Pelodiscus sinensis: one gene and its partners. The protein of the gene in region 2 interacts with the protein of the main gene of each other region in a pairwise test. Links are inferred from orthologs where the notes say so. Each region holds a gene or a part of one and is shown on either strand. Other genes may lie near its edges.

What was found.
Region 1: the proteins of NMI (region 2) and BRMS1 interact in binary tests that used the Homo sapiens proteins (3 or more experiments, as listed by UniProt). The link is inferred for Pelodiscus sinensis from reciprocal best matches to the Homo sapiens genes NMI and BRMS1.
Region 3: the proteins of NMI (region 2) and MTMR9 interact in binary tests that used the Homo sapiens proteins (3 or more experiments, as listed by UniProt). The two-hybrid records come from large-scale screens. The link is inferred for Pelodiscus sinensis from reciprocal best matches to the Homo sapiens genes NMI and MTMR9.
Region 4: the proteins of NMI (region 2) and GCSH interact in binary tests that used the Homo sapiens proteins (3 or more experiments, as listed by UniProt). The two-hybrid records come from large-scale screens. The link is inferred for Pelodiscus sinensis from reciprocal best matches to the Homo sapiens genes NMI and GCSH.

What each region holds. Positions count from the first base shown.
Region 1 is NC_134721.1:32,359,171-32,366,130, reverse strand, and holds the start of BRMS1 (breast cancer metastasis-suppressor 1), read right to left. Parts: upstream 3,012-6,960; 5' UTR 2,845-3,011; coding exon 2,840-2,844; intron 2,575-2,839; exon of another isoform or gene 2,553-2,574; intron 1,654-2,552; coding exon 1,508-1,653; intron 1,196-1,507; coding exon 1,105-1,195; intron 849-1,104; coding exon 721-848; intron 1-720. Other genes in the region: B4GAT1 (beta-1,4-glucuronyltransferase 1), read right to left, coding at 4,759-4,950, 5,755-6,837. UniProt on the Homo sapiens protein: Transcriptional repressor. Down-regulates transcription activation by NF-kappa-B by promoting the deacetylation of RELA at 'Lys-310'. Promotes HDAC1 binding to promoter regions.
Region 2 is NC_134717.1:27,661,192-27,669,158, reverse strand, and holds the start of NMI (N-myc-interactor), read left to right. Parts: upstream 1-4,952; 5' UTR 4,953-5,260; intron 5,261-7,967. UniProt on the Homo sapiens protein: Acts as a signaling pathway regulator involved in innate immune system response.
Region 3 is NC_134713.1:2,877,537-2,884,841, forward strand, and holds the start of MTMR9 (myotubularin-related protein 9), read right to left. Parts: upstream 3,005-7,305; 5' UTR 2,554-3,004; coding exon 2,369-2,553; intron 1-2,368. UniProt on the Homo sapiens protein: Acts as an adapter for myotubularin-related phosphatases. Increases lipid phosphatase MTMR6 catalytic activity, specifically towards phosphatidylinositol 3,5-bisphosphate and MTMR6 binding affinity for phosphorylated phosphatidylinositols.
Region 4 is NC_134722.1:11,491,761-11,498,628, reverse strand, and holds the start of GCSH (glycine cleavage system H protein, mitochondrial), read right to left. Parts: upstream 3,011-6,868; 5' UTR 2,934-3,010; coding exon 2,789-2,933; intron 1-2,788. Other genes in the region: polycystin-1-like protein 2, read right to left, coding at 5,713-5,838. UniProt on the Homo sapiens protein: The glycine cleavage system catalyzes the degradation of glycine. The H protein (GCSH) shuttles the methylamine group of glycine from the P protein (GLDC) to the T protein (GCST).

The DNA of each region.
Region 1 (6,960 bases), on a different chromosome or scaffold from region 2:
TGTACTGACTACACGATCAGTCGATGAGGGAAGGTGCTCTATCCCAGCTCATGCCGGGCAGCTCTTACTACATTTAAAATCCTGGACTGGCGCAAGTTGGGACTGAGCCAGATTTGCTCAGTCCCAGCTTGTGCTGGGTTCAACAGCCCATGCCTTGGCCAGCCTGGGCCACCATGAACAGAAGCTGCTCTAGCAACAGGTCTTGTTCATGGCAGCCCAGGCTGGCCGTGGGCAGAGGCTGCTTCATGGCAGCAGCCCCTCCTGACCTACCCCTCATTGCTGCCTCTTATAGTGGCAGCAGCAGGTGGGGGGGAGGCGGCACCACAGAGATGGTGCTTGGGGGGAAAATGGCTTTTAAGCCATCTCCCCCCCAGCACCAGCTCCTGTTCCCCCATGCCCTTTGCTGCCTCTGCTACAGGCACTTACATCTCTACCATCCATCCTCCCTTCTTCTGAACCCTTCCCTCCCACTCCCCCCGGGGCCACACTGCATCTGGGCCCCCCTAAACCCAACTGCCCCATCTCCAGAGCCTTGCTGCTCCCTTAGAGCCATCAATTGCCCTCTGAGGCCTGCCCAGACCAGGACAGCCCATGGGACAGTCCCCTCCTCCCAGGTCCTGGTACTGAGCCCTGGAACCTCCACTCCTCACGGCAGTGGAACCAGTCCCCTGTGGGGCAGCAGGGGATACAGCTAACACATGGGCAAGGCCATGAGCTCACCAGCCACCTCGATACGGATCTTCATGTTGTTCTGCAGGACACCCAGGGGGTCGAGGTACTCGGCAGCCCGCCCCGATGCCACGTCCTCCAACTTGGCCTTCACCTGGTTCAGCCGCTCCTTGAACAGCCTGCAGGGTGCACCAGCAGGTACTGAGCAGAGTCCTGTCCACCCCAGGGATTCCCTCACACCACCCAGCATGGTCCAGTTCTGCCCACCACACCCAGCATAGGCCTGCTCAGCCCTTGCCAACCCACAGCATTAGCTAGCACTGAGATGCGGCCATTTCTTGGGTGGGGTGCAGCAGGGACAGTTTATACCAGGATCTCTTGCCTGGCACTGAGATACAGGCACCTAAAAGATGGGGAATCCAAGAGGGGACTCACTTTTCTTTGAGCTCAGAGAACTGCTTCTCCAGGTCACACATCTCATCTAGGCACTCGCTGCGGCGCCGCTCACAGTCCTCCTCATCCATTTCTGCAGGGCACAGCACATGTATCTTACAGGCCACACACAGACCAGGGCAACAGAGGCATACAGAGCCAGGACACTCACCCAGGTCACACACACACAGCTAGGAGTAAATAGAAGAATAGGACCCAGGAGTCCTGATTCACAGCCCCATCCCCCAATACCCCCCACTCTTCCCAGAGCTGGGAACATAACTTAGGAGTCCAGAGAGAGGACACTGGGGTCATGGCTTTTACCCTGGAAGCAGAGCCACATCCCAGAACCGCCTTGTGATAAAAGGCCAAGCCCCTCCCTGTATCCCCTTCCATACTCAAATACCTGAGCTTTCTTCCTCTGATTCAGAAGGGCTGGCACTACGTTCTTCCTCGCTCTCCTCCTCTTCACCATTCAGCTCAGGTGCCGAGTCCCCATCCCCCTCCATCTCTTCGGCCTCCTTGGGCACCGGATGCACCGGCATGGGCACTCTAGGTGATCAATGGCAGGTGATCCAGGAGGGTCTTGTTTCACTGCATCTCCCACCCTCCTCCATCACACCTGGCCAGGGACAGCTACCCACAAAACCATGGGACACCCCATGTGCCCAGACTGTGAATATGGGTAGCTCCACCACACCAACAGCAACCCTTGACAATTTGCATCCCCCTGCCCCAGGGCAACCTCAGCTAGTAGGCCCCAATCGCCACAGCCCATTGAGCTCCCAAGGCTTCCCACTGGCCAAGGAAGTAGCAACCTTCTCCATTGGGAGCAACGCCAAAACCCACAACTTGATTCACATGGAGCTAGATCAGAGCCAGCACCTTGCAGAGGTGTTTTATTTCCCCATCCCACACCCAGCCAGCCAGTCATCCTGCCATGGGGCTGGCACAGGGACAGCGCCTCCTTGTTCTCACTGCACTGTCATGTGCAGCCACCTTGTAGGGGAAACCCCGCAAAGCTGCCGAGATGCTGTCAGGGAGCCAGGTGCTGGCAGCTGCTATTGCTACGGCATTGTGACATGTGCTGCGACTCTGCAGCGATGTGTGCTGACCCCAGCGGAGCTGGGACCCCAGAGATCTGCTGCCATGAGCCTAAGTTGCGGATGGGAGCTGCTCCCTCCTTGCCAACAATGCAGGGACCTGGCTTCCAATAGGCCCAAGACCCCATGGGGCACCCAAGCCCCATAGACAGCTAGGGCTAAGGGTGGGAAAACAGGCAGAGCCAGTAACAGAACCCAGGAGTCCTGGCTCCCAGCCCCCTGCTCGCTCTGTAACCATGGCCTGGCCCATATCCCATAATGGGCTCACTACTGCATACGCAATGCTGGGAGAACCCCCCTCCATGAGAATGGTATTTCCCATTTTCTGCTCACTTCCGAGGAACATACCAATGCTATAACTGCCCCCTCCAATTGACACCGTTTGCTCTAGTCTATGCCTGTGTTGGGGAAGATACCACTGAGCCCACATACACACACACCAGAAGGCCACAATTCGCCCTCCCCTCGAGATTTCTTCGCATCTCCCAGTTTCATTGAATTTGTTTTGGAAGGTGTCATTCATGTCCCCATGATGGGGGAGGGGGGTGAAGTAGGATACAGTGCACCCCCTTCCCAAGCTACAATGGTCTGCGCTGCCAGTACGTTTCACGAGGAATGGATCTTTGAATACCCACAACATAGGGGCCGCAACCTTCCCCTGAGTTGCAATAATCTGCGCCGGCCGTCGCTGTAAGTTTCCCCCTTGCGGTTGTAATGGGCCAGCCTGCCCTCCCTTGAGTTCAACGGGGATGGAACCAACAAGTTCCACAAGCAGGGGAGGAAGCGAATTTCTCCCTTGGGTTGCGCAAGCTCTATCCTGGCTTCTATTGATCTCAGCGGGGAACGCACCACCCAGCACCCCATGAGGGGGAAGCTGGGACGAATCCATCTCCCGCTGCTCTGAGCCCCACGTACCTCGGGAGTCCAGGCCGGCGGCCTCCCTCCCGTAGCTGCTTCGCTTCTCCGTACCCGGAAGTCCCGTAGCTACTGGCCCCACCTTATTTTCTTGCAGCCAATCAGGGACACCAATTAATCAGCGCGCCGTTGACTCTATGGTTCCCAGCTGCCCACTACTCCGGGCCTTATGGGATAGTGGAGGATGAGACGTGTTCCCATGGCAACAGACCCACAGCCTAGCCTGAGATGACCACATCCATCGAAAGTTGGCTAAAGGGCGGGCACCCCCCGAATTGGTGTTGCCGCAGCACCTGCTTGTGACACATCACCATGGTACCTAGTCGAGTTGATGCCATGGTGCTTGGTCATGACATCTCCAGAGGACCCAGTCAGTGTTGTAGTGGCTCCTGGGCAGAGTCATCACAGCCTGGTGCAGTGTCACTGAAGCATTGCCACAGCTCCAGTCCCAGAATTGCTATAACACTTGGCACCCAGTCCCAGTCCCGCCTCAGTACAATGCCTTTGGCCTCCTTGCCATGGTGCACAAGCACAGTGTTGTCATGGGACTGCCCCCAACAGCCAAGTACCTGGAGAGAAGCCAAGGGTGTGTGGCTCTCAATTCCCTTCTCCTGATCATGAGCAGGATGGATTCATTGGCAGGAGAGCCTCTGCTTTGGCACATGAAGGAGTCAGCCCCACCCATAGTGCCACACAGTGAGCCAAGCCCTGTGCGGGACAGATACATTCCACCATTGCCTCCGGCGCTACAGAAAGGACCCACAGCAGGACACAGCCATGAGGAGAAGCTCCTGGCCTCCACAGTACTTTATTGTTCCAACCTAAAGTTTGCACGCAGGGCGACGGAATGCCAGGCCATTCCCTACAGTGCCAGAGGACAAGAGCACTCTGCCAGTCCCAACCAAACAGCATTGAGCATCTTCATAAATTAAGCCTCATGCCCCCTGCCCTCAGGAGGTAGGTCAGTGCATTTATTCCCATTTTACAAAGGGGAAAAATGAGGTGCACAAAGTGGAAGGGTCTTGGGGCAAATAGAATAAGTGACAAAGCTGGGAACAGAATTCAGAAGTCCTGAATTTCAACACGTCATTCTTTAACAACTAACCTCTACTCTCTTTTCAGCACTAGGGAAAGATCCCAGAAGTCCTGACTCTCCCTCCTCTAATTGCTATATTAGGTTCTCAACCCATAGCCACTTACAGAAAGGGAGAGGGAGCTGTTGAATCCAGAACAGCCCCCTTCTCTGCTCAGAGAGGGAAAGAATCATAACAAGAGAACTGTGGATGGAGGAAACAGCTGATTTCTACCCACACAGGCAGAAGACCAGGTGTGGTAGTCCTCTGTTCTGAGATAGTCTGATATTGAATGGAAAACTGTGGGAGGAGAATGCTGAAGTGAATTGGAAGAAAGGGATAAAGGGATACACAATCCCAGCAATAGGCTGGGAGTGGTGAAGGAGCCAGAGTGATGTGACTGGAAAGATTCCCCCCTAACTATAAACCTTTGTCTGATGTGAGCGTTAATGACTCAATGAAAAAGAGAGGGCACGGCCCCCCCAAAAAACACTGACACCAAAGCTACAGTTGAAGAGTCATAGGGAAGGCAGAACTGAGGAGCTGTGCCCAAGACAGCAGGCCCATCAGCATCGGCGCAGTGAGCCAGGATACTTCAGCTTCAGTTCCTGCTTGAACTGGCGAAAGAGCACCTTGTTGCGCTGATTCTCAGCATCCTTCTGTGCATGGAACTCACTTGGCACCTTGAAGCCCTTGTGCACCAGGAAAGCATTGTTCAGCACTGAGAAACTGTACCCAGCCACATGGAGCTCACATGCCTACAAAAGGGGACAGGAGAGCTGTGAAGGAGAAACCAGAGTAACCCCCACCCTCATTGGACTCTGAAGTGTCCCACACTTTGTTACATCAAGTGCAGAAAAGCAGCTACCTCTAAAGTGGAGTGTGCAGGCTGTTTATAGAGGGATCCTTCCCCTGGTTCTGAGATGCAGCTGCTTCTGGGGTGGGGCATTGGAGCTGTTTTATACAGGGATCCCTCACCCAGTGCTCAGATGCAGTATGGGATGTGGAAGCTATTTCACAGCTTCACAGAACACTACAATTCAGGACAAAAAGTGGAAATTCACTGGATTGAAGCTGTAGAAAAAGGGACAAATGGTCTTTAGTGAACACAAGGGGCCAAGGCGCATTTTACATCTAATTGGACGGATGCCACTAACAGGTATACTTACAGCACCTCCTGGTGCAGCCTTGGGCATTGAGGATAGCATTGAATGCAAGGTGAAAGCACCTCTTACTGAACCCTCCACCCTGCAGCACAATGTCCCTACATTGTGCTGCTTCTCTTCTCCAGCCAGCAAATACTCTTGGACTACGATTGGATCAGGGCCAAAACCCCCTTGCAAGGAAGGAAATAATCACTCCTCTTGCCCTTGTGTCTCTATGAGGCTCAGTAAGCATGGCCTGAGGCTGTCCAGTGATCAGGAGATCACCTGGATGAGACTTCCCTGATTTGTTTCACCCATGGGTCAGGACACCCTGCTCCATCGCTTGGGGAGGCTGGGTGTATTTCTGGGGTGTCTCCCATGGCACTAATGCCCCCCCATTCCCAGTTAGGCAGGTACCTGGCTGATGCGGTTGAACCCATACTGCTTGAATCTTTCATCGTAGGGTGGCACAGAGTTGGCACTGATGTAGAAGGGCTCCCAGGGGTCCCTCCACTCCACGGCGTAGGCGGTGTTCAGGGGACTGCCCAAGGGCAAGTTCAGCCAGCGTGAGTAGTTGGTAGGGGCCTGGCAGCGCGGGCAGAGCTCCTCGTAGAACGGCCGGATCTCCCCCACCTGATACAGCTGCAGTAGCTCGGTCTTGGCACCTGGGAGGCGCCGGGTATGCCGAATCTCAAAGGCGGGCACCACAAAGACACCCGGTGGCCCCTCAGCACCCAAGGTTGCTGCCAGAGCCAGAAAGGCCTCACGCAGCCCCTCACTGGGCAGCATGTCCACGTCCAGCACGAGGGTGTAGTGCCCAGTGGCTGCTCCCCTTGCCACGTTGCGCAGCAAGTTGTTGGGGTAGGAGGCGTTGGCACCCAGGGCATAGTTACGCCTGCCCACCCCGGCCCGTGCCAGCTTGGCGAAGACATCCCCACAGGCCTTCAAGCGGGCAAACTCCGCCCGGTCCTCCAGCTCTGGGAAGGCGGCCAGGTCCCCCGAGTGACACACCAGGTGGGCCCTCACCAGCTGGCGCACTGGCCCGCACAGTGTCCCCAGGGCGTAGAGCATCAGCGTAGCCAGCCGCACCTCGGCGGGGCCCGGTGCAAAGAGCGCCACGGAGACCGGGCCCTGCCAGCGCCCCACCAGCTCCTGCAGCTGGTACAGGTTGCTCAGGCTGGTGTGTGTGGCGAGCACCAAGTCGGGCGCCCGCTTCGCCCGCTCCGGGGGCCCCAGCATGTCCGTGTAGATCCGGTACTGCCCGCTGGCATCCAGCCGCCCGCCGCTGGCCAGGGCGCGCTTGAGCTGCTCCTTCTGCTGCTCGCTGGGCCGGCCGGGAGCCTCGCCCCGGCGCCCCCCGAACAGCTCCGAGTAGCGGGAGCGCTGCTGGCGCCCGTGCAGCCCCGAGAGCAGGGACAGGTAGAGCAGCTGCAGCAGGGCCACCAGTGCCAGCGCCCACAGCAGCACCTTGAAGAAGGAGCATCTGGCGGGGCTCTGCATGCCGGCCGCGGCCGGGGCACCGCGCTCAGGCCCGGCTCGCTGCGCCCATGCTCGCCATGGGGGACCGGCGCAGGCAGCGGGCGGCTCCAGCTCCTTGTCCTTGTATGCAGCCGGCCGGGAGGC
Region 2 (7,967 bases):
TTGTGGTTGTGAAATCCTCATTTGTTTATTGCTTCATCATTATGCTCCCCATCTCTCTATTGTTTATCAGAAAGGTCTCCGTATGGTTCTTTATTTCTGTCTCCTTTATAATTAATTTTGTTAGGTATAAACCAACTAAGGTGGTGGGATATAATTGGTTAGATAATTACAATGAGTTAGGATTAGTTAGTTGAATTTTAGTAGAATGATTAGTTAAGGTATACCTGAAAATATTAATATATATAGTAGCTAACCCCAATAAACTAGAAGCTAACCCCAATATACATTGAATTGTTTGCATCTCCAGACTTTGGGTATTACTGTTCTTTGTCATGTGAGAAGGAAATGACAAGGTGAAGGGATAAGTCATCTACCAGCAGTTAGCAAAATTACCCTATCCTGGGAGACCATCTTGGTTATGACAATCTTGTGGCCCACTGAGCTAAAGGAGGGCCATGTCCACTCACTAGCCTAGAGTGCCCATTCTTGCTTTAGCATCTAAAATGTAAAGATTTATTTATCAGAAAGAAAGAAATCAGAATTAAAATAGTTAAAGGAATCACATACATGCAGCAATTGCAAAGTTCTTGGTTCAGGCTTGTATCAGCAATGGAATAAATTGCTGGCTTAAATTTAGTCTCTGGAGTACTTCCACAGCTTGGATAGTCATCCAGTCCTTTGTTCAGAGCCTCAGTATGTAGCAAAAAATTCTCTAGAGGTGAGAAGCAGGACTGAAGACAAAAGGGAGGTGTTTAGAGTGCTTTTTATACCTTCTGCCATGTGGAGGGAATACCAATGTTCTTGCAATGGAAAAGTACAGCAACAAGATGGTGTTTAGAGTCATATAGGAAAATCACATATCCATGCATGATTCAGTTCTTTACAAGTAGAAGCCATTGCTCCCATGCTAACTTGAACATTCACAGGAAGGCTCCTCAGATGTGAATTAGCACCTTCCCAGGCTCATTATCAGTCAAGTACTTTTATTCAACTTGAATAGTCCCTTCACAACATGTTGGCCAAATGCCCTGTTGGTGGCTCTCAGAAGTAAACATTTGAAATACAAGTACATAGCCTTGTACTTGTGTACCTGCACCACTCATAATTTCAAATACAAAAGTGACACATGAATACAAATGACATAACCATAACCAGTTGATCATAATTGTTTCATAGACACCTCACTTGGCAAACTTTGTACAAGATTTGTTGCAAATATATAAGAACATTTGTAACAGCGATCTATATGGTCATATTTTAATCTGGTAACATCACATTCTCCCCTCAGCCACATTCCCTGGCAGGGTGCCAGTGCAGATTTTTTGTGCATGCCATGGAAGTGGGGGGGAGGGGCAGAAGTGAGAGCAGTGGCTTCAGCAGTGTAACTGATCATGCTTAGTACAAGCCAAGCACCAACTCGGGGGAAAGGGGAGGGAGACCAAACCTGTCTCCCTCCCCCCCCCCCTCACCACACACATATCATCTCTTTCCAGGAGCTTCTGAAGCACCTGAAAACTCTAATTTTTTGCAGGTAACATAGCAATTGGCTGACAGGAACATTGTATGTAATGTAATTCCTATGGAAAAAAACATTAAATGTATATTGGATCCATTCAGCTCCAATATTAAAATGTTCTGACATCTTGTGGCAAGTCACTTGAAAGACATTGGTTAAGTTTAAAATTTTAATGTATATTCTTACTTTGTCACTAATGCTGCAGAGACAGAGACTTCATCATAACTCCTGGGTTCTAGCTCAGCTCTAGGAGGGAAGTGGGGTCTAGTGGGTTACAGCAGGAGGCAGATATATTTAGTCTCTATGGGTTCATCTAGACTACAGGGAATGGTCGAAAGAAGATATGCAGGAATTTGCATATCTTCTTCCGATCACACTTTTGAAAGCAGAGCTTTCAAAAGTGAAATTAGTCAAGGCTCAGATTTTTCGGCAAATCCCCCCACCCTTTGTTGAAAAGCCATGTAAACCTCCTTTTTTGAGGAAGAGCAGCTTTTTGACAAAAGGGGGGAGGGGTTTGCTGAAAAAGCCGTGTCTTAACTACTTTCACTTTCAAAAGCTCTTTCAAAAGTGCGATAGGAAGAATCTTCTTTCGACCGTTCCCCGTAGTCTAGATGAGCCCTATATAAGAACATCAGAATAGATACTGGATCAGACCAATGTTCCATCTATTCCAGTATCCTGTATTCTAATAGTGGTCGATGCTAGGTGCTTCAGAAAGAATGAACAGAACAGACAATCACCAAGTGGATCCATTCTTTCACCCTTTCACAGTTTCTGACAAACAAGATGTTAGGGACACTCTCTGCCCATCCTGGGTAACAGCCATTGATGGATCTATCTTTGAACTTACTTGGATCCTATTGGAACCCTGTTTAGTTTGGTCTTTTCCATTATCCTTGGCAAACTGTTCCACAGGTTGACCATAAAGAAATATGTTTTTGTTTCTTTTAAATCTGCTGCTATAAATTTCATTAGGGTGATCTTCTTGTGTTATGTAAAGGAGAAAAATGTTCACACTATTCATGATTATATAGATCTCTAACATATTCTCTCCAGCCTTCACTCATCTATTTTCCAAGCTTATGCATCCTAGGGTTTGGTTTTTTTCAATTTCTCATATGGAAGCTGTTCCTTACCCCCAATAATTTCTGTTGCCCTTCTCTGTACCTTTTCCAAATCCAAAACATCTTGGCTACGTCTACATTGGCATCCCTTTCCAGAAAAGGGATGCTAATGAGACGGGTTGCAATTGCAAATTCTGCGGGGGATTTAAATATCCCCCGCGGCATTTGCATTTACATGGCTGCCGCTTTTTTCTGGCTTGGGGATAAGCCGGAGAAAAGCGCCAGTCTAGACGTGATTCTCCGGAAAATAAGCCCTTTTCCGGAGGATCTCTTATTCCTACTTCAAAGGGCTTATTTTCTGGAGAATCACGTCTAGACTGGCGCTTTTCTCCGGCTTATCCCCAAGCCGGAAAAAAGCAGCAGCCATGTAAATGCAAATGCCGCAGGGGATATTTAAATCCCTCGCGGAATTTGCAATTCGAAGTCTACATTAGCATCCCTTTTCCAGAAAGGGATGCCAATGTAGACACAGCCCTTTTGTTTGTTTGTTTTTTGTTTGTTTTTGGATGGGGTAATCAGAACTGCCTGCAGTATTCAAGATATGGGTGTACCATGAATTTATAAAGAGGCAATATGCAATTTCTGTCAAATCTATTCCTTTTTTAAATTATTCCTAATATTTGGTTAGCTTTTTTTGTTTGCTGCTGCAAAGTGAAACTATCTACAATGATTCCAACATCTCTTTCTTGAGTGGTAACAGCTAATTTAGACCCCATCATTTTATATGTATAGTTGGGATATTTTCCTGGATTACTTTGTATTTATCAGCATTGAATTCCACCTGCTACTGTTGCCCAATCATCCACTTTTGTGAGATCCCTTTGTAGCTCTTTGCAGTCAGCTTTGAATTTAACTATTTTGAGTAATTTTATATCATTTGCAAATTTGCCACCTGTTTATCCCTATCATTTATGAATAATTTGAACTGTCCTGGTCCCAATACAGATCCCTGGAGCATATCAATATTTAACCTTCTCCATTCTCACCAGTTATTCCTTCCCTTTGTTTTCTTTATTTTAAGTGGAGTACCTGATGATGCTTTTATGATCTAATGATCCTTCAATTAATTTAATGATAAGCCATGCCCCAGAAGCTCTGCTGCACTTAAGAGCTGCTTCTGGGGCATGTGCTGTAAGTAGCCCTTAAGTATGCAATTCATGGGTTCAAAAATAAGGGGTTCAAACTTCAGGGGAGGCTAGAGCCCCCCATCCTGCCTAAATGGTGCTCCTGTTCCATGGCCTAGAATACTTGCTGCAGTCTTAGCAGGACTATATCTTGAACGCCCATTTGCCATATGTCTGTGCTACTTATGCCAAACAATCTCTCCCGCTTTGCATTTCGCTATGATGTTGGGAATCCCTTTCCCAGCCCTCAGGAAAAGTTCTGTGTAGCTCAGAAGCTCGTGTCTCTCACCAACAGAAGCTAGACAACAACAAAAAAAAATACTTTTTCACCACTTAACTCTCTGACATCCTGGACTGGACAGAGTTACAATGCTGTACCCATCTTTTCATTGAGACAACTAGCCCTGCATAGCCATGAACCTTCAATTGCATTGCTCCTTTGCTTGTCTAGGGGCTTGTCTACACTCCAGGTTACAGCAGCATAATTTTTGTCACTCAGGTGTATGTCTAAGTCCCTCCCCCCACTCTCCCCAGTAACATAATTACACTAAGTACTACAGCTGTACAGCACTGGACAAGATTCTCCTGCCAACATAGCTACTGTGCTAAATGGGGATGGTTTAGCATGCCAAGGGGAAGGATCTCTCCCATTGGTGTAGCTCATCTTCACCAGACCAGCATCTTCCCTGGTCCAGCTAACATATCCCTCCCTTTGCACTTTCTAACACAAATCTGTCCCTTCGCAGCCTGCAACAGGCTAGTGGGGCACAGGAGCAGGAATCCAGGTGGGGAAAGAAGATACACATGGGACTCCCCTAGGGGCAGCAGCAGCATCATGGAGCATTTTGAGTGCTAGAGAAGGTGCAGAGCAGGGCTGGCCAAAGGATGCTCATAAAGTGGGAGACAGGGCCTGCCTTACAGTAACTGCCAGAGCTAGGGTTGCCTGGTGTTGGGTTTTGAACCAGACAGTCCAGTATTGGAGTTTTCTGTTCAGAAAACAAATGGAGAACATATAAATGTCCAGTATTTCCTAAGTCAGATGTAATGTAGATTGTGATGTGATAGCAAGTGTGTGGGGTATTTTTGTTGAACCCACCTGGCAACCCTCGAAAAGAGTCAGAGACGTGGCCATAAAAAGGCAGCCGCCCAATGCCTGTCAGGGAGAACAGCGGCTGCCTGCCCCTGGGGCTGTGTTCCCGAGGCAGCGCGCCGGGCGAGGCTCCCTGCAGCTGGGCGGAGAGCGGAGCTCCCAGCGGGCCGAGGGAGGGAAGCCACCGCCCACGGGCGGGGGAAGCTGACGGCGGAGAGCCCCGCCCGGTGGCGCGCTCAGGCTGGGCTGCCTCCCCCGCCACGTGATTGCCAGGCACTGGAGCCCAGCTGCGGTCGCTAGTGCTGCTGCCTGCCCGCTGGCGACTCCACCGGCTCGGGGGCTACAGTGCGCCGGGGGACCCGACCCACACCCAGCAGCGCTGGCCTCGCCGCCGGCCCCTGCCCCTGTAAGTGCAGCCTCGTTCTGCAGGGTGGGCTCGCTGCTCCGCGCCGTAGCCGCCCCCCTGCTCCTGAAACGAAACTGATAGTGAGCGATGGGAGCCGGGCCCGGGCGGGTCGGCTTTGCCGGCCCCTGCAAAGCGGGCAGCGCCTGCCTCGTTGTATGGGGGGTTCTTTAAAGAGCTGGGTCTTCACGGGCCGCTGTAGAGTCCCTGCACCGGCGCTTAGGGCCGGGAAGGACACGAGTGTCAACTTGACGCTGGCTTCCTGAGCAGGCCGAGCGCTGGGTGTGATGTCTCTTAAAAACCCCACCTCTTGGTTATGTACAGTGAACAGAACACAAGCGATGCTAAATGATCGCCGGTAGCACAGGCGTGTAAGGGAGCAGCTCTCTACCGACCTCGGGCACCAAGGTTTTCAAGAGTTAGGAGTAACAGGAATCATTTGCCCTTGGGATAAATGGCCATTTAGGCAGCGTTTTGTTTTGCTATATAGAGTTTACTGTTTTGTAAAGTGCAAATACCCGTTTTCTTCAATATAAACTACTTGTATATGTTTGTGTGCTTGACAATTATTTTGTATGTTGTATTACATATAGAGTAGATTTTTATGAGGATAACATTATTGTTTGTTTGTTTTTTTAGATGGCATTCACAGTGCTTTCCAAGCAGAAGTAGTGGTGCTAACTTGTGATTTTATTGCCAGGCATGCAAAAGTTGATATTTTACTTTAAGGCCTCCTTCCCAACTAGAGAAAAATGTATAAGAGCAGTGCTTTTTATGTGATGGTACTGCCCGGTACACAGTACCAGCACCTCCATAGCTCAACAACTTTTCTCTTGAGCTATGTCCATATTGGCAAGATTTTACGCAAATACTTTTAACGCAAGAGTTTTTGCATTAAAGTATTTGCGCAAGAGAGCGTCTACACTGGCATGTGCCTATGCGCAAGAGATGTGCTTTTGCGCAAAAGCATCTGTGCCAGTGTAGACGCTCTCTTGCGCAAGAAAGCTCCAATGGCCATTTTAGCCATCGGGCTTTTTTGCGCAAGAAATTAATGTTGCCTGTCTACACTGGCCTCTTGCGCCAGAACAGTTGCACAAGAGGGCTTATTCCTGAGCGGAAGCGTCAAAGTGTTTGCACAAGAAGCACTGATTTTATACATTAGAACGTCAGTGTTCTTGTGCAAGTACTAGCAGCTAGTGTAGTCAGGCAGCATGTTTTTGTGCAAAAGCGGCTGCTTTGGCACAAAATCATGCCAATGTAGACACAGCCTTGGAGTACCAGCACTTTTTTTAAAACAAAAAAAGCACTGCATAAGAGTATCTATTGGCTTTCATCAAAGTACCACCAGAAGAAGCAGTGCAACTTTTTAGCTCTCATGGTTGTAGAGCAGGGGTTCATCATCATCATCAACAACCATGGGCTCAGTGCCCATTGATGTCCTATGCCTCCCTCACCATTTCCTTCCATCTTACCCTGTCCAGTGTGGAGTGGCTTAGTTTCTGTAGATTCGCTCCGCACCAATCTACTATATCATCTACCCATTCTCTGTGGGGTCTGCCTCTCCTATTCGGGCCATCCATTATGCCAAATACCAGGGTCTTAACCTTTCACTTGTCATTCATTCTGCAGATATGCCCAAAAGAGCAGGGGTTGGCAACTGTGTAGAAGTGGCATGCCCCAGTGGCGTGCCACCACGCTCCCCGGGGGGTGGGATGGGATCTCCAGTGCACGCCCTGCTTGGTCTCCTGCCCTGGACTCCCAGGCAGGGGGACGCTGCACAGCTCCCATGTCCTGCCTCCCCAGAGCATTGGGAAGGTAGGGTGGATAAGGCATCATGTGTGTTGCTTTGGGGAGGGGAGGAGCAATATGCATGCACTTCCCTGCAAGCTGGATCCTGTGTGGAGCCTTGGGGCTTTCCCCCTCCTCACAGGAAGCTGGTGCTTACTCCAATCTTGTGGAAGGTGTTACACAGGATAGCCAGCTTGGGCTTCCTGTTAACTGGTCAGGGAGAGCAATGAAGAGCCCGTTCATCATGCGTGCTACTGAAAATCATCTTATGTACCACTTATTGCATACGTGCCATACGTTGTCGACCTCTGTTGTAGAGAAAAGCTTGAAAATGCTTGAATGCCAGAGATCACATAAAGCTAACCATTTTTAGGGGAAAAAAATCCCATACTTTGAAAATCTGCCTTATGATTTTTGGGACATTTGGGGTTGGCAATACTGTAGAAGTGAAGGTGTAAGTTACTGTGTTTAATTTGTGCCAGAATAAATGTTTACCCTCAAGGAGTAAAAAATAATGCCACCCTGATCCTGCATTACTCACATATATAAAATTGAACAAGTGCGTAAGTGTTGAAAGATAAGGAGACAATTTCTGAAAAATGTTGTAGCTCCTGCCTTAACTTGTCCTGACATCACATGCGCAGAGGTGGATCTTTGTGCTTATATGGCAATGTAAGTGCCTGTATTCAGTATTATGTGGAAAGTATTATGTGGAATTCTGATCCTAATTGGGGCACCTAACTGCTACTGTAATACAAATAAGAATTCCATGCATGGACCAAATTTCCAATAGTTAGTTTGCAGTTTTATTAATTTCTTCAAGATTAAATCAGATTTCAGTGTACATGTGAGATGTGCAGATTAAGTCCCAGTACTGCAAAGATTTATGCACATCTTAGTTTTATTCATACTGCACAAATTA
Region 3 (7,305 bases), on a different chromosome or scaffold from region 2:
GAGACTGGGAGGGAGGTTTTACTACTAGGCCTACATTCAGCTGGCTATGACTTTGACCATATCACTTCACCTCCATGTTTCTGTTCCCCCACCTATAAAATGAGCATAGAGTGGCTAGCTCTCTCAGAGACAGCGTGGGAAGCATTCTATAAGCAGCGCCTATCAAGAGGATTGATTTGCAGAAGAAAGGCGATACAGAAATATGCCCTATAATACAGTCAGACTGATTTTCAAACCAGTTCGCAGTTTTGTCTTGGCATCCCTTTATGTTTTAGCCTCACAGCTAATGGCGGGTGCAATCTGTTGATGGCACAATGCTAGCCCTGATCAAATGCAGGCCCAGACTGACATGCAGGCCCTCGGAAGCAGCACAGGCAGTATAGCTGTAACTGTCTGAATGCTAGGGATTTAAGAGTGTAAATGACTAACAGTTTAACTCATAAGGGCTGCTCGCTCTGCTCCAGGGGAGGAGGCATCCCTGATGCAAGGAAGCCTGCTCCCAGGGCAGCTTCGCTGCGGGCTCTGCAGTATAAATCAAAGTTTTATACTGCAGAGCCTGCAGTGTGGGTAACCGTATAACTGCTGAGATTTTCAGCGGTTACACAGTTAGCCTATTACACGATTTTTAACATCCCTACTGAATACAGTACAGCCGTCAATGCAGGTACGAGCACCTATATAAAAGATAAGATAAAATCCGGTGGGTCTGTAATTTGGTCTGCTAAGCCTTTATTTCAGCTAATAAACCATTAATTTCTTCACTCAGTAGCTGTGTGACTGTTTCTCCAGCACGGAAGAACTGGAAGAATTTGGGACAAATGAAGGAATAGTGTTCAGCTTCAACGATGATCCCATGTGCCTGCATGCCCTCCTATTTCATAACTTCCTGTAGTAACAGTTTACAACAAGTGGGGCTATTTTTCCTCTCTGCATTTCCTGGAGTATCCTGACATCGCAGAGTCAATAAAGACGGCTCTTCTCCACAATGAGATCAATAGGCCGTACGTGTAAAAAGAGTCACTGAAGAATGGCAAAAAGCTACTAAAAAGAGCAGCAGTTTTGGAGCTCATGCCTCAAAATGATTATGAAAAATTTTCAGCCTAAGCACAAAAATCTGCTCACCTATCTTTATCAGAAGGACACTACAAAAAAAAAACAATATTCTACTTGCCCATCAAAGAGATATTCACATCAGCAAAGCGAAAGGGTAAAATTCTGTAATCCTGCGCTAATCCCATATTGGTTTGTCTTAGGGACATCGCTATATGTGAACTAAAGCAGAGCTATTTACTGGGCCCTACATAAGGGCCCCATGTTGTAATCCCTGGCGTTTTTTCCCTCTAAAGCAGGCAACAAGGATTTTTAAGAGGAAACCTCTAAATGGATCAGATGGGATAGGATAGAATGGCACCGTGATGGAGTCTATACTGCAGAAGAGTAGCCAATAGTCCTCAAATTTGTCAGGCTGATGAGGAAGAGGTAGAGATAGTATTGTATTAGTTCCTATATGGCAGTGTGACTTCACGTAGAGAGTATTGGACAGAGTCTCCAAAAATATGGTTTCTATTCCTGGCTCTACCATTGGCCTTGTTGTGACACTTTGAAAACATCATTTCACCTATGTATACCTCAGAGATAATGATAAGAGCGGTCATACTGGGTCAGACCAAAGGTCCACCTAGCCCAGTAGCCTGTCTGCCAACAGTGGCCAATGCCAGATGCCCCAGAGGAAGTGAACAGAACAGGGAATCATCACAAGACCCCTCGCAAGACAAACAGGCTAGGGACATTATCCCTACCCATTCTGACTAATAGCCATCCATGGACTTATCCTCCATGATATACTTTGTAAAGCACGTTGAGATTTACAAATGGAAAGCAATGTACAAAAGTTAAGTATTATTATTATACTGTAGCCAATGTTCCAAGTTTTTTCCATCCGTACGCAGAATAAATTTTGTTACGTGCACCAAAGCACGTGCAGATGTGCACCACCAATATAAATACACACTGCTGGTTGTGGTCAGCTGCGGCTTCTCTGCCAGTCAGCTGGGCAGCACCTGCATCTCTCCTGGGCAGCCAGCCAAGCGCTCAGCTTACAGGGAACGCTTTCACCTACACACTTTGCTATCTCCGGTCAACCCAGGAAAGCAGGCAATGATCACCCCCATTTTACAGAAGAAGGAAACCAAAGCAGAAGTGAAGTAACTCAACCAATGTCCAAAACAGGACTAGAATCCAGTTACCCAGACGCTCACGCTTCTGCTTAGTACTAAACCCTTGGGCTCCTGATGCCCAATTCTTTGCCGTGCTCCCCACCCCCCTTAGGAAGAGACGGAACTAGATGGGTGCAAAGACGTGAAAATACCTTTTTTCTATGGAGTCAATGTTGGAGTGCAGCAGCCACAGCTCCTCAGCATTGTCCTGGCGCCGGGAGGAGAGGATGAGGTGGTGGCCAGTCAAGCACAGGGTCCCCTCCACCGCCGGATAGAAGGGGCGGTGCAGGACCACGTTATCCGCGCGGGGTGTCTTGATGAGCTCTGCAAACTCCATGTCTCCCCGGGGCTGGCACAGGCCTGGGCGCGACCTTGGCAGGTAACCAGCTGGCAGGGGGCGAGCCCGAACTCTCCACTCTCCTGGGGCCGAAGGGGGGGGGATCCAGACTATCCCCAGGGCCCTTCCCCGAGCGCAGGGGGCTAGGAACTAGCAGGGAGGCACAGGGGTGGGGTGGGGCATCACTGACAGGGGTGGGGGGGCCCAGCGCCCGCCTTGGGGGTGAGGGAGCCACGTGCTTCTCTCCTGGGGGGGTGTCACAAGCCCCCCTCTCCGTGGGGGGAGGGGCAACAGGACCGGGGGAGGGGGGGTGTCACAATGTGCGAGGGGCCAGCTCAGGGTGGGGCACGGCCCCTGCTCCCACGGGGGGGTAACCCCAGGCCTCAGCGGGGGGGGTCACAACCCTAGGCCGGGGGGGCGTTGTCACAGCAACGGGGGGGGGGGCACGGGCGGAAGTGGCTCTCCCCCTGGGTTCCGGCCGAGCCGCGGCCCCGCAGCAGCAGCCCCAGCGGCCAGAAGCCCAGTCCCGGCCTGGGCCCCGGATGGTGGGGCACGGAGAGGGCGGGGTTGCTGGAAACCCCACCCCCGCACCCACACACGTGACTCCACGGACCAATCCGCGGCCACCGTCCCGCAGCGTGCGGGCGGAAGACACGCGCGCACGCTGCCGGCGGAGCGTCCGCCCCGACCGGAAGTCGTCCCTGCAGGACAGAGGGCGGCGGGCCCCGGCCGCCCCGGCGCCTTCGTTCCGCCGCCAAACCGGGCCCGCCGCGCTTCGGGGCCGCGGGATGCGGGAGGGTAACGAGGGCGGGACCGGGCGCCCGTGCGGGCGGGGGCAGGACAACGGAGGCAGGGCGGGGCTAGTGGAGTGTGGGGCGGGGCTGCAGGGGAGGAGCTTGGGGGCGGGGCTAGTGGAGTGTGGGGCGGGGCTGCAGGGGAGGAGCTTGGGGGCGGGGCTAGTGGAGTGTGGGGCGGGGCTGCAGGGGAGGAGCTTGGGGGCGGGGCTAGTGGAGTGTGGGGCGGGGCTGCAGGGGAGGAGCTTGGGGGCGGGGCTAGTGGAGTGTGGGGCGGGGCTGCAGGGGAGGAGCTTGGGGGAGGGGCTAGTGGAGTGTGGGGAGGGGAGAAGGGGAGGAGCTTGGGGGAGGGGCTAGTGGAGTGTGGGGCGGGGCTGCAGGGGAGGAGCTTGGGGGCGGGGCTAGTGGAGTGTGGGGCGGGGCTGCAGGGGAGGAGCTTGGGGGAGGGGCTAGTGGAGTGTGGGGCGGGGCTGCAGGGGAGGAGCTTGGGGGCGGGGCTAGTGGAGTGTGGGGAGGGGAGAAGGGGAGGAGCTTGGGGGCGGGGCTAGTGGAGTGTGGGGCGGGGCTGCAGGGGAGGAGCTTGGGGGAGGGGCTAGTGGAGTGTGGGGCGGGGCTGCAGGGGAGGAGCTTGGGGGAGGGGCTAGTGGAGTGTGGGGAGGGGAGAAGGGGAGGAGCTTGGGGGCGGGGCTAGTGGAGTGTGGGGCGGGGCTGCAGGGGAGGAGCTTGGGGGAGGGGTTAGTGGAGTGTGGGGAGGGGCTGAAGGGGAGGTGCTTGAGGGAGGGGTTAGTGGAGTGTGGGGAGGGGCTGAAGGGGAGGTGCTTGGGGGAGGGGCTAGTGGAGTGTGGGGAGGGGCTGAAGGGGAGGTGCTTGAGGGAGGGGTTAGTGGAGTGTGGGGAGGGGCTGCAGGGGAGGAGCTTGGGGGCGGGGCTAGTGGAGTGTGGGGCGGGGCTGCAGGGGAGGAGCTTGGGGGCGGGGCTAGTGGAGTGTGGGGCGGGGCTGCAGGGGAGGAGCTTGGGGGAGGGGCTAGTGGAGTGTGGGGAGGGGAGAAGGGGAGGAGCTTGGGGGAGGGGCTAGTGGAGTGTGGGGCGGGGCTGCAGGGGAGGAGCTTGGGGGCGGGGCTAGTGGAGTGTGGGGCGGGGCTGCAGGGGAGGAGCTTGGGGGAGGGGCTAGTGGAGTGTGGGGCGGGGCTGCAGGGGAGGAGCTTGGGGGCGGGGCTAGTGGAGTGTGGGGAGGGGAGAAGGGGAGGAGCTTGGGGGCGGGGCTAGTGGAGTGTGGGGCGGGGCTGCAGGGGAGGAGCTTGGGGGAGGGGCTAGTGGAGTGTGGGGCGGGGCTGCAGGGGAGGAGCTTGGGGGAGGGGCTAGTGGAGTGTGGGGAGGGGAGAAGGGGAGGAGCTTGGGGGCGGGGCTAGTGGAGTGTGGGGCGGGGCTGCAGGGGAGGAGCTTGGGGGAGGGGTTAGTGGAGTGTGGGGAGGGGCTGAAGGGGAGGTGCTTGAGGGAGGGGTTAGTGGAGTGTGGGGAGGGGCTGAAGGGGAGGTGCTTGGGGGAGGGGCTAGTGGAGTGTGGGGAGGGGCTGAAGGGGAGGTGCTTGAGGGAGGGGTTAGTGGAGTGTGGGGAGGGGCTGCAGGGGAGGAGCTTGGGGGAGGGGCTAGTGGAGTGTGGGGAGGGGAGAAGGGGAGGTGCTTGAGGGAGGGGTTAGTGGAGTGTGGGGAGGGGCTGTAGGGAAGGAGCTTGGGGGCGGGGCTAGTGGAGTGTGGGGAGGGGCTGAAGGGGAGGAGCTTGGGGGCGGGGCTAGTGGAGTGTGGGGCGGGGCTGAAGGGGAGGGGCTTGGGGGAGGGGCTAGTGGAGTGTGGGGAGGGGCTGCAGGGGAGGAGCTTGGGGGCGGGGCTAGTGGAGTGTGGGGTGGGGCTGCAGGGGAGGAGCTTGGGGGAGGGGCTAGTGGAGTGTGGGGAGGGGCTGCAGGGGAGGAGCTTGGGGGCGGGGCTAGTAGAGTGTGGGGAGGGGCTGCAGTGTGGAATCCGGCCCGCGGAGGCCCTTTTGCCCACCCCTGGTGTAGGGAATGGCTGAAGGAGAGAAGCTTGTGGGGAGGGGCTGAAGGACTGGAGCTGAGGGATGGGATCGGAGGAAGAGAGACTCTTGGAGCGGCGCTGGCACTAACTCTGGTCCTAACTCTGACTAGGACCAATGGCCTTCACTGCCTTGTGTCTCAGTCTTCCCATCTGTAAAATGGGAAGGAGGGATTGTTGTCTCTGTAGAGGGTTAAAAGCTGTCCTGACACAAACTTAAATCTGCTCTAGCACTCCTGTCTGGAAGAACACACTGGATAAAGGCCCCACGTTTTATGGAGAAGAGAGGCAGAACTTCCCATTAAACAAACAGAACTATGCTGGTTCCTTTTGGTCCTCAGCCTTTCCATATCGGTTGCTTCCACCCTAGCTCTGGTGAGAGAGGCTGGCAGCATCTCAAGAGCCTATTCCTGCCAGAGCCAACCTCTCTGAGTGCTAGAATCACAGTCTGGGAGTCCCTACCATTATTTATTTGTGAGCAAAATAAACGAAGACAGACATATTGATTATAGTCAATGCACAGAGGCATGTAGCTGATATTGCTCATCCATCAGCTCTTCTGTAGTCAGGTATCCAAAGCAAGGAGCATATTCGGCGTACCCATCATCTGTTCAATGAATATTTGAATATCTTATTTTTATGCTTTTGTAACCCATTTTACAACTTTGATGCGCAATTTGCATGCATGATTTATCTCGCTGGTATAATATAATAGATTTGCACACTAGGATCTGTAAATGTGTATTTATTTATGTAATGTATAAACAAATAAAAAAAATGTGTCCTCTAAGCTTATATAAACTTTTAAATTTTAAGAATAACTATTGTTTATTAACATGAAGAAATTAAGCATCAGTATTACGTAGGGTTGCACTAGGTGACTGTAGATACACCTTGAAGACATGACTGACAAGATTCTATGAGGTTTGAGGAGAAGAACAAAAACAAAACACCTAAGCTGTGTAGTGACCCAAGAGGGTCTTTCTTTTAAAAGAGGACTGATAAGAGAGAGAAACAGCTGTTTCCTTGATTGGAGCTATCCTCAGCTCTGATTAGGGTCAGATAGTGTCTTCAAACAGCATCCCTTCCTCTCAGAAGTTTCAACAATGAATTCACCTCTTACATTGGCCAATTTACAGGGTGGCTGCAGTGACATCTGTATTCAAGGGTGCACATCTCCTGCACAAGGGAAACAGTTTGGAGTTATTTGTCAGGGCACAAAACCCACAGGAAAACAGGAATTTTGGTAACAGCCTACACGAGACGTTGTTCATTCATTGTTGGTACACAAGCAATCAGGTTTTCAGACTTTGGTCTCGTGTTAAGAGCATGAGAACTTAAGAACGGCCATGCTGGGTCAGACCAAAGGTCCATCTAGCCCAGTGTCCTGTCTGCCCACAGTGGCCAATACCAGGTGTCCCAGAGGGAGGGAACAGGGAATCATCAAAATACAGGACTATGTAGCACTTTAAAGACTAACAAGATGGTTTATTAGATGATGAGCACGTGATCCCTCCTTGTCATCCATTTTCAGCCCCTGACAAATAGAGACTAGGGACATTATTCCTACCCATTCTGGCAAATAAGGGAAGGACCTAACCTGCATGAATTTATTGAGTTCTTTTGTGAACCCTATTAAAGTCCTGGTCTTCGCAACCTCCTCTGGCAAGGAGTTCCACAGGTAGACTGTGCACTTCATGAAGAAAAACTTCTTTTTGTTTGTTTTACATCTGCTACCTGTTAATTTCATTGGGTGACCCCCTTGTGCTTATATTGTGGGAACAAATAAATAGCTTTTCCTTATTCGCTTTCTCCACAGCAGTCATGATTTTATAGACCTCTATCCTATCCCCCCTTAGTTTCTTCTTCTCTAAGCTAAAAAGTCCCCATCTTTTA
Region 4 (6,868 bases), on a different chromosome or scaffold from region 2:
CAAGAAACACCTGCTGCACATCCACATTGCCTTCTTGCGCAAGAGCTCATGCGCGAGAGGGCTTACACCTGTTGCGCAAGAAGCCCTCTCTTACCACGCTGTACTGTAAATTTCCTTGTGCAAGAGCCGGCGGGCAGTGTGGACGCTCTGCGGATTCTTGCGCAAGAACAGCCATACTTGCGCAAGAAGCTGCCAGTGTAGACATAGCCTAGGTGTTCACACATCAGTGTATAGCAGGGCCAGGCAAGATATGGCTATGGGGCATCATTCAGCCCACCAAGCTACTGGATCCGGCCTGCAGGCCACCCAATCCAGCCCCATACCACCTTGCTGGGACCCTCAGGCACAGAGCAGCCTCATGGCACCTTAAGTGTCTAATGGCTCCCTATTCCAGGTGAGAGATAGGAGGGTGCACTCTGTTCCCCTCCCCCCCAGCAAAATCTCTCAGCTCAGAAACAAGCTAAAGGGAGCTGAGAGATTTGGGGGGGGGGGGGGGGCAACACATAAAGCCTCTCCCTCCCCTTGGAGCAGAGAGCCACAGGGAGCAGCTAGCAAACCTGCCTCAGGATCCTGCAGGGCTTCTGACTAGGAGTCATTAAGGTAAGTGCCTCTGGCCACAGCCTGACTCTAGCACCCCAGCCTCTCTCTCCCTCCAACTTCCTGTCCCAGGTCACCACCTAAATCTTCTGCACCCTCATTCACCCTTTCTCCATGGCAACTCCCTCCCAGACCCTGCACCCTTTCCTACATCCCACCAGCAGGCCAAAATGCTCTCCTACACCCATATCTTCTCCTTGATCTAGCACCCCATTCCCCTTCCCCAGGACATCACCTAAATCCTCTGCTCCCTCTCCCACGTGGTCACAATTTCCTAATAGACCCTGCACTTCCTCCCTACACCCTCCCCCAGGCCATAATCCTCTCCTGCACCCATACCCCCTCCCAGACCCTGCAAGAGGACCTCTGTACCCTTATGAATGTGCCTGCATAAAATTCAGACCTAAATTCACGTAGTCCATTAAGGGGAAAATTCAGTGATTCATTCCGCTTAAATTTATAATCACATAGGTGCACCATCAAAGCTTCACTTGTTGAAGCTTCAAGGAGGTGTCTATGGATCTACATTAAGTAAGAGTTGTAGGATCAGAGCCCAATCTATCACTTTTCCCATGTGCGTTATCAGAGATGTTAAAAATAGATTAATCAACTAATCCAATAATTGATGGAATTTCCATTAAGTATTTGATTAATCGATAAGGGTGTTTCCATTTTGAAATATAGCTAGAGCCTGCCCAACTGTTGCTACATTTCAAAGGTGTAAGTGCTAAGGCATTCTGCCTTTGAAATGTATAAGAGCTCTTGTACATTTCATATGTGGAACACCATCGCTGCCCCCTACCCGCTCCCACAGAGCTGGAGGAACCAGCTTTTAAGCCAGCACCCCCTTCTCATCTCCCCTGGGGGGAGCGACTAGTTAACTAGTGCATTGACTATCCAATAAGCTTTTGCTTATCAGAAAGCTGACTAATCAATTAGTCACTTACATCTCTAATGTGTATGATGGATATCAGTGAATGTGGAATGTTTAGTGCCTGTGTCTACAAAAAAGCTTGCCAATGTCTTCTTTTAGATCAGGTATACAAACTTCTACTGCATCATACTATGCATAGTAAAGTAAAATCATCTAATACCTCATGCACACTAGCAAGTTTCTCACCAGCAGGAAGCACCTCATGGTCATTTGGGTAGCAATGCTAACAAGTGGTCAGATTATGCCATAGTGACAAAAATGGCTGCGCCACGTCTACCTTGTGCTTATACCTGTCGTAGCTGCATTGCAACATCACTCAAGCTACCTCTAGTGGGGCTATTTTGGGACACCGGAAGTATTCCAAAATAGCAATTCCTCATCTTTAAACATGCCCGTTATTTTGGAATATATTTTGAAATAGTGGGCACACTATTCCTTATTCCACAAGGGTTAAGCGACTTATCAGAATAGTGTTTTAACAAATTTCGATATAAGCAATTTTGAAATAATCTCTAAATAAGCTATGCAATTTGCATAGCACAAATTTCATGTCTTATTTTGAGGTAAGGGTGCTGTGTAGACACATCTTTATTGATAAAAACAGGTAAGATGTTTCTAATGTGAAGAAGCATCTGTGATCAAAATAATGGCCCACTGATCATTTTACAAACCAGGCTATCTAATAGTGGAACCTGGTTTACTAACTTAACTCCATCTCACTTTTTCTCACTATAACTTAGCCCTTTACAAATATGTTGATCTGAGCAACATACCCAACCACGAGTGGTTTTTAGGCATAAATCCCCTTCTCCGTAGATTAGTGAACCCGGTAGATTTCTAGCTATAATCTTGGGAACGGGAGTCAAGCGTCCTGGATTAGACTCCCCGCTCTGCAAGGGATTTGCTGCGCTATTTACAAAACAAGACCTTCCCCTTCCCTCCAAGGCGCCATGGTTTTCAAGCGAGGGTCCCCAGATTAGGTCTACGATTTCCAAAGGGCTCTGCACCTCCATGTGGAAACTGCCAGGGGACTGGCTCTCCCGACCTGCGGCTCTCCCGTAGGGCCCAGCTGGCTGCCAACAAACTAACGGGGACACGCACCAGGCAGCAGCACCCGCGCCCCGACTGCAGCCCTCAGGCTCGTATGTGCCCCCCCGCGCCTGCCCCGCGCACCGGCCCCACACACGCACCGGGACCTGTCGCCAGGCCTGGCCTCCCGCCATGTGGGCCCGGCCGGCGGCCCGTGCCCGGACTCACCGGAGAACAGCAGCGCGCTGGTGCCCAGGCTCCGGGCCGGGGCCGCCTGAGGCCAGGCCGACCGGGCCGAGGGGAAGGGGCCGCCGCGGCCTGGGCAGCGCGGAGCCAGGCTGACCGCCACCCTCCGCAGCGCTCGCAGCGCCATCTCAGCCGCTCGCAGCCCGGCGCCCGCCGGCCCCGCACAGTCCCGCGGCGCGCTGAGCCTGACCCCGCGGGCGGAGCCGGGGGAGGGACCAACCGACGCGGCCCGCCCTCCGCCCTGGGGTACGTGCGGGGCGGGGCGTGCGGGCATGAGGGGAGCTGGGTGTGGGGGGAACAAGGGGTGTGAATGCGAGTGGGTGGGGGTCTGTGAGAGAGGGCAGAATTAGGGTGTGAGGGGGGCTGTGGTGAGAGAGGGGGAAGGGGTGTAGGGGGCTGTGGTGAGAGGAGGTGTAGTGTGTAAGGGGCTGTGGTGAGGGGGGAGGATGTAGGAGACTGGTGAGGGGGTGTAGTGTGTAGGGGGCTGTGGTGAGGGGGGAGGATGTAAGAGACTGGTGAGGGGGTGTAGTGTGTAGGGGGCTGTGGTGAGGGGGGAGGATGTAAGAGACTGGTGAGGGGGTGTAGTGTGTAGGGGGCTGTGGTGAGGGGGGAGGATGTAGGAGACTGGTGAGGGGGTGTAGTGTGTAGGGGGCTGTGGTGAGGGGGGAGGATGTAAGAGACTGGTGAGGGGGTGTAGTGTGTAGGGGGCTGTGGTGAGGGGGGAGGATGTAAGAGACTGGTGAGGGGGTGTAGTGTGTAGGGGGCTGTGGTGAGGGGGGAGGATGTAAGAGACTGGTGAGGGGGTGTAGTGTGTAGGGGGCTGTGGTGAGAGAGGGTGAGGGGTGTTGGGGGCTGTGGTGAGAGGAGGTGTAGTGTGTAAGGGGCTGTGGTGAGGGGGGAGGATGTAGGAGACTGGTGAGGGGGTGTAGTGTGTAGGGGGCTGTGGTGAGGGGGGAGGATGTAAGAGACTGGTGAGGGGGTGTAGTGTGTAGGGGGCTGTGGTGAGAGAGGGTGAGGGGTGTTGGGGGCTGTGGTGAGAGGAGGTGTAGTGTGTAAGGGGCTGTGGTGAGAGGGGGGAGGGATGTAGGGGGCTGTGGTGAGAGAGGGGGTGTGGTGAGTAGGGGGCTGTGGTGAGAGGGGGTGTAGTGAGTAGGGGGTGTGGTGAGTAGGGGGCTGTGGTGAGAGAGGGGGGAGGGTGTAGGAGACTGGTGAGAGGGGGTGTAGGGGGCTGTAGTATGGGAGAGGAAGTGGGTGCATGGGCCCACGAGAAAAGGACAGAACTGGGGACTGGATGTGGGAGTGAGGATAGTGGGGGGCTGTGCTCACGAAAGCTCATGATACCATCTACATGTTTTGTTAGTCTATAAAGTGCTACCAGACCATTTGTTGTTTTTTTCTGTAACAGACTAACTCGGCTACCCCCTGAAGCTTCTGAACATGCAAGGCACTAATTCACGAAGCACAGGTGATGTAAATCAAGGGCTTCTCTACATTTAAAATGCTGTAGCTACTGTGTTGTAGTGCTACCTATGTTAGCTGGAGGGACTCTCCAGTTGGCATATTAGATAATCCACCTGTCTGAGAAGCAGTAGGTGGTAGGTCCATGATGATGAAAGATTTCTCACTTAGACCTAGTGCTGTCTACAGCAGGAATTAGGCTGGTTTAACTACTCTTCAGGAGGTGGCCTTTCTGCCTCTCTCTGCATCTGACCTGAGGGGTGTGGTTAACTCTAGCAATTATTGCATGCTATTCCTTACTTATACATTTGCAGGCTCTGATATTACTTATTATTCATAACATATAAGGAAGAATTATTTCTCTGCTGGATACAATAGGAATTATTAAACCTTGTTTGAAAAGAACTGAAAAGTGTTTGATTGTGTAATCCTTCCTGGGACATTGTCAGTGGAGTTACAGTGAACCTCAGGAATTCAGTGACTCAGTCTGAAGCTATTGTCCACAAGTTATAAGGCTATTAAGTCTGATGATCCTTAAGTACCTCACTTCCCAAGGAAAACCAAGGTTTATGTTTAAAAGACTCAGAGGGGTAGCTGTGTTAGTCTGAATGGTCCTGTAGCCAGGAGCAGCCCGAGGCCGGCTGCGGAAGGTGCGATCTGCGCCCCCACGTGCATGGCTGTCAATGGCTGTGATGTAATCATGGGGCGCCTGAGGCCACAGCGCCCTAGGCAACTGCCTAGTTTGCTTAGGTCCACGGGCCGCCCCTGCCTGTAGCACCTTAGAGACTAACAAAAATATCAATAGTATCGTCAGCTTCATGGGCACAGCCCACTTCTTCAGATCTATGTTATATGCAGTGTTGTGGGAGCTCCCTTGGTCCCAGGATATTTAAGAGACAAGGTAGTAAGTATTAGACCAATAGATACTAATCCAAAATGATCTTACAGTACCTCACCCATCTTGTCTCTAGAGATCTCTGTTGGTCCCCAAGCTGTAATGACTCCAGGGAATGGGATTTTAGTACTTCCCTGCATGCTCTGTTGTGATGATATTGCCAGTGTTGAATATGTAAAGAGTTGCCAAATTTTAAAAAAATATTCCTTCTAAGACATTTAAATCACATTCTGGAGAAGTGGGACACTATTTCTTGGTTTTCTGATCAAAAAATTTAGACAAACTGCAGGGAACATGTAGCATTTATTAAATACATGACAGTAAATGTACAGAAAGAATAAGACAATATACATAATTGGACACATTATTCTAGATTTATTTATTATTTTACAGGTAATATCCCATATCATACAACACAAGATTTAATTATTAAATATATTCCTGTTTACACTTTACACATAGCAGCCACAATATCTACGTCTAGCCACAGCAGCTGTAGTTTAAAATGGATAGCAGGCAAGACTTTACAGAAAGCAATTGGTCATTATGGTTGTCAAGTAGTAGCTGCTACTTTCAGTTGTTCTTCATTGGTTGGCTTCTCTTCCTTTTTGCATTTAATCCCAAGGAAACTGAAAATTTTCATCAGCATGAGATCAACAATCTCTTCCTCTTCTGAAGCCTAAAAAAATGACAAAAACAGCTTCATGTTGCTATAGTTGTTCATGGATTGTTAGTTTAAACATATGGTATGAAGTCCTGATTCTATTGATGTAAATGGCAAACTACCATTGACTTCAAGTGCACCAAGATTACACAGAGAAAATCTAAATCGAACAGAAATCAATTCAGGTGGATGATGCAGAATTTCACCACTACTGAAAAAAATTCAGTTTGTGGCAACATTGCTGAGTGAAATTCTGGTTCCACACTTGTCCATGGGAGTTTTGCCACGGACTTCAGTAGAGTCAGGAATTTATCAGCTAATTTACACCCGATGGTTCCCCAGATATATGCTTATAACTCTAGTGAAGTGAGAAGAAGTTGCATATGTGCATCTAGCGCTTACATGAACAATCTGTTTTGTTTGTCTTTCCCTTGGTTTTATATACAACAGATTCATCAATGTCTTCACGTATAGCAGAGATTTCCAGCACACAGCCCATGGGCCATTTACAGTCCAAGCAGTTCTATAATTTGACCTGAGCATCCTTGCGCACCTTGGGCGGGGTGTGTCCATATTTCTCCCCAAGCCCTGCCCCATCCTGTTGCCCCCTCCCCTAAGCAACGTGGACCAGGGAATTATAGGGCTTGGTGGAGGGTGGCAACAGGGGTTGCCCTCCTCTTTCACACTCAACATGTCAGTGGGAGCCCAAGTGGCCTCGCAGCCTGCTCTGCCCCACTACACTGCCCTCCCAGCCTGCTGCACTCCACTTCTCCAAGGCAGCGGGAAGCAGTGCCCTAAGGGCTGGGGCTCTCTACTTCCCCATGCAATTAAGAAGCAGAGCATTGCCAGCTGGGAAAGGGAAGTGGAGCAGGCTGCTGGGCGGCTCTTGAACCTGCTGCCACAGTGAGCGTGTGAGGGGTAACCTCTTTTGCTGCCCTGTGCCAGGCCCCATAATCCCCCGGGTCTCTCCCATCCATAGGATGGTTGAGGCGGCTGCCGCTGGGCCCCCTAAAGCATGGGGCCTGGGGTGGCTACTGTGATTTGT